Linked DNA regions of Saccharomyces cerevisiae S288C. Changing the gene in region 3 together with the main gene of any one other region gives a genetic interaction. Each region holds a gene or a part of one and is shown on either strand. Other genes may lie near its edges. The genes, in order: CBP4, YPL034W and SRY1.

Region 1 (3,151 bases), on a different chromosome or scaffold from region 3:
GAGCAACATGAAAATAAAACTCTGCCTTCCTTAGCTAACCTACTCTAACGTATAAGTATCTGAACAATTGGTTTAGATCCAAGATTCCGCGCTTCCACCATTTAGTATGATCCATATTTTATATAATATATAGGATAAGTAAGATCCCGTGAATCAAGCTGATAAACCGTTTTGACAACTGGTTACTTCCCTAAGACTGTTTATATTAGGATTGTCAAGAACCTTGACATTACCCCATTGCATGATGCAATAATCTCATATAAATAACAAGCGCAAGTGGTTTAGTGGTAAAATCCAACGTTGCCATCGTTGGGCCCCCGGTTCGATTCCGGGCTTGCGCAATGTTTTTTCCATCCCCAAGTATGGGAACTAAAATAGCTAAAAATAAGTATGAAGTTATATTTTTAAACCTATTTACAGTGTACAAATAAATAATATATCATAAATGACACAGACGTATGTTTTAGGATGCAAAAGTTCAAGCTGCCCTTCCTAATTGAGTGACCCGACCCATCTACCAGAAGCGCCACCAGCTTTTAACCTGCTTATCCTGGACTATTTCCTTTGTTTTCTCCTCCGTTTCAGATCTTAGCTGAGACAGTTCATTTCTGATCCTAGCCAACTCTTCTTTTTGCACCTCCTCCGCCCTCACCTTAGCAAAGTGATCTCTGCTTTGAACGTTATCACCGTTCCTTTCCCAAGGTGATTGAAGGGGGCCCGTCTTCCAAATTGGATCGTCACTTTGAGAAGTTTCCTTAACAATTTTCATCAAAGCCTGCTGCTCCGACTGACGTAGTTTTTTCTCCCTCTCATATTGTAAACGTAATTCTGGGGAAAGCTGGCTGATTAACTGTTGATCTGTTGGCGTTGTGTACTTGAAAAGCAGAAACCCGCTTCCAATAATAGCGCCACCAATTGCATAGACTTTCAACCAACGTACCCACAATGGTCTTTCCATACCCAAATAATGCTTATACTGTCTTTGTTTTGCTATTACTGCCTCTCTAGGAGTTATCGCGCACTGCATGTATATAAAATTTTATCTTGATAAAATACCCCGGGGGATGAGCAAAAAAAGGGATATGGGGAATGAAAAGTGAGATAAACTAGCAATAATCTATTCTAATAAGTAGAACATTCACAAAGACTACTATGGTGTAATTCTGAAAGGATTTACGAGAGCACAAATACTATTATGTATAATTCTGACTGCAGAATCCGGCAAGCTTGATTTAATATCACTTAAGGAAGTAATATCGTTAATTGATAACCGAATATGAATCTCAATGCATATTTTGAAGCATATCAAGCCATTTTTCCTTTTCTGTTGGAGGCATTTTTAAGGAAAGAACAAAAAGTATAAAACACTTCGGTTAATAATAAATGATATGTGAATTTTTTTGAAAATATGTAAAATAAATAAGTAATAAATAAAAATAAGATGTGTTTATCGTAATGTACTATACAAGCCTTCCAAGCCGACTTCTGTAATAAAAAAAAAAGGTGCAGCTTAATGTTTGACGGTTCCTATCCTCTCTCCCTTATAAGCTGTAGTTAACCAATCAACTCACCAAACAAAAATGGGGTGAATACTCTAATAGCTGTGATCAAAATCATAATACCTTCCAATAAAGCCATTGGTAATCCCAAGAAACCACGTTCTTCCATGTTCAAGTAAATGGTGTAAAAAGCGACAGCGAAGAAAACCCTGGTCAATTGCAAAGGCTTTGGCAAGACACCAGACAGAAATTCAACGGGTTTGTTGACACAATCGCCACCTCTTTGGAAATATTTGAAACAACCTTTTTGTAATGCCTTCAAGTTATCGCTGTCAGCAGCGAACAAAGAATACAAAGCCACTGACAAAACGTTAATAACGGAATCGTAACTCTTTCTTTCGAAATGGTAGTCTAGTAATTCATCCAAAACCTTTTCACGGTCGCTGAAGTCTAGGTCACCTATTTTCTTAATCAACAAGACAACATCATGCAAACCGACAGTCATACCACCACCAGTCAATGGATGTCTCATATTTAGAGCGTCACCGATAACACACATACCAGTGACGTCGTTTTGTCTAGCTGGCAAGTAGGAGTTTGGCATAGCTCTAAATTTACCTTGGCTGACGGCTTCATCAAATGAAGGACGTAGACTCTTTGGAATGAAAGGTTGGACATCCTTAATCATCCAACTCTTGATATCAGCTGGGACCTTTGGAGAGTTGTAAGCACAAAGGATTCTTGTTTCTTCTGGACTGATTTGGTAAACCAAGATTGGCATATGATCACTACCAAGAATAACGTGACCGTGCATAGGAGCAGGATTCTTAGCATTGAACAAAGACATACCGACAAACGAAGAACCGACAGTTGGAACATGGTCTGGGTGCAATTCCTTTCTGAAACGTGAAAAGATACCGTCACAGATAAATGTCAAGTGGGCTTTGAATTCCACCTTGCCACGGCCATCAATGTCAACCTTGGCACCAACAACCTCATTCTTTTCATCCTTCAATATCTCAATACAGTTACCTTGCACTCTAGTAACATTTGGCTCTTGAGCAGTAATGTTTCTCAAGTTGTTCAAGAATCTACCATGAACAAAAGCAACACCCCTTTCTCTTTCATCATCTTCGTAATCCTTGATGTGAATAGTGCTGTCTTCCAAGACCTTGTCATTACCATCTTTGACCAAGTCCTTCAATTTTTCAACTTTAGGGATATCGGCCTTGTAAGGGTATGGAATATCAACTTGTTCGCCGTTGAAAAAGACGGTATAACCGGTAACAGGATATGCTTCGATGTTGTTGATAGATTGAATCATACCCAGACTTCTCAATGCTCTAACACCACCTGGTTGCATCAATTCACCAACAATTCTATCAGGCATAGCCCAGTCACGTTCTACGATAAGAACTTTCTTACCCTTTCTTGCTAGACCAGTAGCAACACATGGACCGATAACACCAGCACCGATGACAATCGCATCGTAGGTAATTGTGTTGTCGGCATTAATCAATTCAGGTGCAACGTTAACAGCAGACATGACCCTTTTCTCGATATGTTTTTCTGTGATTTTTTTTTTTCAATTGTTCGAAATAACCTGTATTGTTCAATACTGGACAATTGTTCTGATATATATATATATATAT
Region 2 (2,816 bases), on a different chromosome or scaffold from region 3:
GAATTCGAGAAAATCGTGAGGTATAATTTACAAAGTGTAATATTGATAACTAAGTTCTGCTTGAGTAACATTTTTCCAAAGGTTCAAGCTGAAGCTCAAGAAAAAGCAAAGGGGTTCTATATTGTCAACATATCATCGGTATTGACGTTAAAACCGTGCAAATCAGGAACACATTTTATTACATCGAAATGTGGTATAAACTCTTTCCACGATGGAATAACCTCAGAGCTTAAATTGAAAGATAGTAATTTGAATGTAAAAACGCTGATTGCATATTTACCCAGTTTTGAAAGTGAAGCACATTGGAAGAGACTTTCCCCGAGTATCTCGAAACATCTCGTCCACTGTCTACTTGAGGGAAGATATGGTGATACAATTCTCGAAAGCAAAAGATCAATTGGTGATATTCTTTTGATAACTGGTTTCAAAAGCTCTTTTACTTAAGGGTACTACAAATCGAAGTAACAGTGATAAAATTGCTAAGCACATATATTTCTATAAATAATTCAAGGAAAAGAAAGGTAACACTACAATTTTTATGATGATAAATAATTTGAATAAACCGGCCAGAATAGGCCAAAAAATTTTTTTTAAGTCTAACGAGATTCTCCTCCAAGGCAATAAGAATCAATAAGTCTTAGTACTGATGGTAGCTCCAATACAGGCACATTGAACCACTCTGTATGCCTCTTTTTTCCAGTTGGATCACACCCATAACAGTAAACCAATCCTTTCCCGTATTTCTTCCATAAAAATTTATGAATAGCGCTTTCGATATCTGGTAGTTTCATTGAACCTTTTCCGCTAATGAAAAATCCACCATCTTTATAAGTGCGTAGGGTTGGCACCTTAGGATCTGGAAGGGAAGGCTTGTGTGAGTGACTTTTATCTTTGATGAAAAGTTTCTCCATTTTTTTTTGTAAGCTTGATAATGAAATGGGCAATAGCCTGTTTGAACTGATATTTTTGCTTTCACTTTTCAATTTCAAGTGGTATAATTTATCGACTTTCTCTGGAGTCAAGTTTATCACTGGATGCTTGCATGTGGTTTGCCATTCTAAAAGTCTTGAATCTACTGTTTTTCGAGTGGTCATTCCTATCTTACATAGAATAAAGTCTCTGTCTACCCATTGTCTCTTCTTTTTACCATTAGTCCGAACTATTGACTCATCAATAAATAGCCATTTTAAATCTACCGTCTTTTCAGATATGTATGATTCAAAGAGGTTACTGTATGTATAGATGTAAATAAAACCCGGTTTATTTTGCGCATTATCTCTTGGTGCCCGTGTGTACCTTGCATCTTGCCACTGATGATAATGACAGTACTTTTTATCCGACGGTATGTTTATCTTGCACCGCTCTCCCTTTTTTGTTATGCCTAAGACATCTCATAATAGATTTAGCTTTGATGAGCACTTTTCTGATATAGTCTTATCTATGATGGGAAACAATTCTTTATTTCTCTTGACATTTGATTTCTTATGGTGTTGGACTTCTCGCGGGAGAGGCGCACATACACGACTACATGATAATAACATTATTAGAAAAATATATCAACATAAAAGAAGAAACTGATATAATACGTGCAATGTGCTTGTATGTAAATAAGTGTGCATTATATGTTTATTAAAAATTAAGAATTAGATTGATTTAATGTTTCGAAAAAAAAAATATTTAGTCATTTCACCATGTTGGATGGGAATTCGTGTGTTGTTATTGGAATGATTCTTCCTTTTTGGAGAGGAAAATAGTCAAAAGAACACGAAATAATATGAAAAAAATTTTCCATATGAATTTGCATCCAATCAAGCAAAAGATCGGCCTACTTCTGATATGTGGATATGTTTGTTTGTGTGTGTGTGTGTGTGTGTGTGTGATAAAATTGACAGATATGATGCCACTTAGTCTAAAAACTTGTGTGTAAACTTTAAAACTGTAACATCATATCGAAGGTATCAAACAGAGCACAATTGAAGAGGCATTAATTTGATTTTTGTTGACCGTGTTCTTTTATAACGTCTTGGCTTCCTTGGTATCGACAAATTGAAATGAAAATGAGGAATAACAAAAAGGAGATCAATAAGAAAAAAAATCAGATGGATGATGTTTAAAATTACTAACTGCTTTTTTCGTGTTGAGTAGAAACTCTTTGCATAGCAGCCATGAAATCTTCGACACTTCTTGTAGACTTCTTTTCCTTTAATGACTTACCATTCATCAACCTATCAAAGGCTTGAGACGTGGACATAATATAGTAAAATCCTCCCAATACACAAAAAATACCAATGGACCAAATCCAGACACGAACGACTGACACAATATCAGTCCAGTTTTCAGACCACCAGCCAAATAAGGTAAACATGGTAGCAATAATATCAACGGCGAAAACGGCACCGGCTAACTGCCACGATGGAATGGAAGACCAGAATGGGCCAGCAGCTCTAGTGACAAAAATTAACCAATTTTCAGTTAGTGAAATCTGCAGGAACATGACACCATTCATGGCACCAAAATTTTGGATAATACCACCATTAGGCAAGAACATGGTGGTTAAAGTAATCCAAGAACCTATAGCTAAAACTATGCCCAAAATAATAGACATACCCCATAATCTTGGTAGGTTCCATTTCACAGGTTCAGGAGCATAAGGAGCATTGTCATAAGCAATAGTTAAAGTGGCAACGTCTGCGAAAATAGCAATAAAAACGATCAAATTGATATCCAAAGAGTTGTTTAAAATAGCAATCCATAAACCCAGGAAAATCTCCAAATGTAAGGATAGGGCAATACGATAAACAACATAGGAGTACATT
Region 3 (3,218 bases):
AAAGATTTCGCAAAAGAGAAAGCTTGCTGGCTTGGAGCAGTAACTTTTTTTGATTTTTTTTTACAAGCACACATGCTTTTGCCTTTAGAATATTACGGCTCCTCATGTGGATAGTAAAAACTTGACCGTTGCATCTGTTCTCCTTCGAACAAAGAATAAATCGTCTGAAAAATCACATAGAAAAATAATAGAAAAATAAAAAACATAGTAACATATTTTAAAAGAGACCTTTTATTGAAGAAAATTTGGCGATAAAAATGATTATAACATTGAAATGACGAAGAAAAGGACAGTGCCCGAATTCTCGATTCCAATAAAAGGCGAAAAATTACAATCGCCAGCATGTTTGGTACGGGGCGACTCGTGGCATTTTAAAGTACGCTGGCATGTTTAAAGGTATTAGTGTTCTTGGCGTGGAAAGTGCAGGTGTCTCACTTTTTAGAACGAACAAATTCAAACAATATACAACAATCCGCCGAAAACATTCCAGAAATTAAGATTGTTAAGCACTTTTGCTAAGAAAAAAAAAGGGCTCTCCCCTGTGAATTAACTCAAAGGTAGCGTGTTCTGCCTATGCAAGGTGACCGTTTTTGCAGATATTGTAGTGAGATGCTCTACAAAAGGGGTTTCCTAATCTAATCTTTTACCATATCAAAAATGCCCTAATATTATTATTAAAGAGCTATCAAAGCCTGATTCCTTAGGTATATGACTAGTTCCCGAATTAATGGCATTGATTCATTACTTATTTTATTAGGGGGATGATAAAAATAATGATATCTTTTTCTGCAGCGTCATTTAAGTACTGATTGAGACTGACAGTTGTGATAGAGATATTAAGTAGTAGAAACGGTCCATGAATTGTTCTTTGTTAATATTCTTGCTGAGGGAGGCTTTTCTTTTGGGCTGCTATGCTTTCATTCTACTTAAGCAACGAGATAGGAAGCTTCAAAAGGTGAATGGTGAAATGCTGAAGAAGATTTCGTCATTCCAATCCTCGAGAGTGCGACGTAAGTAGTGACTCTAATGAATTTTCTATGCCTCATAAAGCTTGAGGTATATTTATCCATACGCAAATAATACACGATCTAGGATTATTGTAGTATGTTATTGTTTGACAATATCCTTGGACAAGTTCTAATCACTTATATTTCCCAAACATGATTCGTGTATTTTGGCGTTAGAAAACGACGGCAAGTAAGCTCCCAACATTTACTTGACGAGTTTTTTGTCACTATCATCACGCCCTAGAGCCAAGTTATATTTTTATCGTAAATTCTGTAAATTAACAGTCATTCTAAGCAGGTTGTTTTAATATTTACAGGTAACTTGGCTGACTTCTTTTAAATGTGGCTTCTATGACAAAAAAACTGAAAAAAATGACTAATTAGTAAATTCAGCCTCTTATCATAAAATCAGGGTCTATAGGACGGTACGTGAGAAAAAGATAAGCTTTGGAATATAAAGAGTTACATTTTCATTCTGCAAAAATTCAAATAAAGGAGTATTGAAAAAAAACTTAAAAAGTACAAATAATTAATATAGTTCGAGATATTTAGTTTTCATTGAGTTGGAAAAATGATTGTTCCCACTTATGGAGACGTTTTGGATGCCAGCAACAGAATTAAAGAATATGTAAATAAAACACCGGTTCTCACTTCACGAATGCTTAATGATCGACTTGGAGCACAAATATACTTTAAAGGTGAGAATTTCCAACGAGTGGGAGCGTTCAAGTTTCGTGGAGCAATGAATGCTGTTTCAAAATTAAGTGATGAAAAAAGAAGTAAGGGAGTAATTGCCTTCTCATCAGGAAACCATGCACAGGCTATTGCTCTTAGTGCAAAACTATTAAATGTACCTGCAACAATTGTTATGCCCGAGGATGCGCCCGCCCTTAAAGTTGCTGCTACAGCCGGTTACGGAGCACATATCATAAGGTATAACAGGTATACTGAAGATCGCGAGCAGATTGGGCGTCAACTAGCAGCCGAACATGGTTTTGCATTGATTCCGCCCTACGATCATCCTGATGTTATTGCAGGGCAAGGTACGTCGGCAAAAGAGCTATTAGAAGAGGTTGGACAACTTGATGCATTATTTGTTCCTTTGGGCGGTGGTGGGCTCCTTTCAGGATCTGCACTTGCCGCTAGAAGCCTTTCTCCAGGCTGCAAAATTTTTGGGGTTGAACCTGAAGCTGGTAACGATGGACAACAATCCTTCAGATCGGGTTCCATTGTTCATATCAATACGCCAAAAACTATCGCAGATGGCGCTCAAACACAACACCTCGGTGAGTACACATTTGCCATTATTCGCGAAAATGTCGATGATATTTTAACGGTTAGCGACCAAGAGCTAGTAAAATGCATGCACTTTCTTGCGGAACGCATGAAGGTGGTTGTTGAGCCCACAGCTTGTTTGGGATTTGCAGGTGCACTTCTAAAAAAGGAAGAGCTAGTTGGGAAGAAAGTAGGCATAATACTAAGTGGAGGTAATGTAGACATGAAGAGATATGCTACTTTAATCTCTGGGAAGGAAGATGGCCCAACGATTTAGTGTATACTTTTGAATTTTGAGTTCAGTTTTATAGTGAAGAATTGGAAAGCTTTAGTTGTCTACTTTCACACGGCATATATCATTTGACTTAACATTAATAACATGGTTGAGATTTTGAAGTGAGTTCAGCAAAAAAAGCCTCTAGCTGATTTATACTCTGATAACTCTACATATTTTTCTACTAGTATTATATTTCACTGAACTGACACCCTTATGTGGGAAAATTTTTTGGCAGAATGATAGTGTGTGAGAGGGAAGAATACTGCTTATGTCAAACTAATAATATAACTTCTGACTGTGACTATGAGCATTACTGGTATATTAGTTTCTTTTGCATATTTTGAACTAAAACAGAAGAGCGTTCCTAGGCTTACACCCAGTAAAGACATAGCTTCTAAGTTGAAAAAACATATCTCTACTTCAATTAAAGGTAACTGTCATAATGTCCTATTTTATACGCAGAAAAAATTCTCTTTTCCACACACAATATCGTCTGCTCTTATTACTAATCAATCGAGATCTTGCATGAAGATATTTATGGTCCACAGGAAAGGATAAGCCTCTATTTTAAGGAATTATTACCTAACCAAGACCAAAACTGTAGAAATCCTCCTAAATTTAGTTCTTCACTTTTTTTTGATAATCATAATATGTGTCAA

The links.
Region 1: mutations in SRY1 (region 3) and CBP4 together harm fitness more than expected from each alone (negative genetic interaction), as found in Saccharomyces cerevisiae (2 studies listed by BioGRID).
Region 2: mutations in SRY1 (region 3) and YPL034W together harm fitness more than expected from each alone (negative genetic interaction), as found in Saccharomyces cerevisiae (2 studies listed by BioGRID).

What each region holds. Positions count from the first base shown.
Region 1 is NC_001139.9:845,379-848,529, forward strand, and holds CBP4 (Cbp4p), read right to left. Parts: upstream 1,028-3,151; coding exon 515-1,027; downstream 1-514. Other genes in the region: YGR174W-A (uncharacterized protein), read left to right, coding at 1,277-1,363; ERG1 (squalene monooxygenase), read right to left, coding at 1,555-3,045.
Region 2 is NC_001148.4:484,990-487,805, reverse strand, and holds YPL034W (uncharacterized protein), read right to left. Parts: upstream 1,095-2,816; coding exon 597-1,094; downstream 1-596. Other genes in the region: SRL4 (Srl4p), read left to right, coding at 1-444; H(+)-exporting P2-type ATPase PMA2, read right to left, coding at 2,120-2,816.
Region 3 is NC_001143.9:16,700-19,917, reverse strand, and holds SRY1 (threo-3-hydroxy-L-aspartate ammonia-lyase SRY1), read left to right. Parts: upstream 1-1,578; coding exon 1,579-2,559; downstream 2,560-3,218. UniProt on the Saccharomyces cerevisiae protein: Catalyzes the deamination of L-threo-3-hydroxyaspartate to oxaloacetate and ammonia. Shows a high specificity towards L-threo-3-hydroxyaspartate as other 3-hydroxyaminoacids, i.e.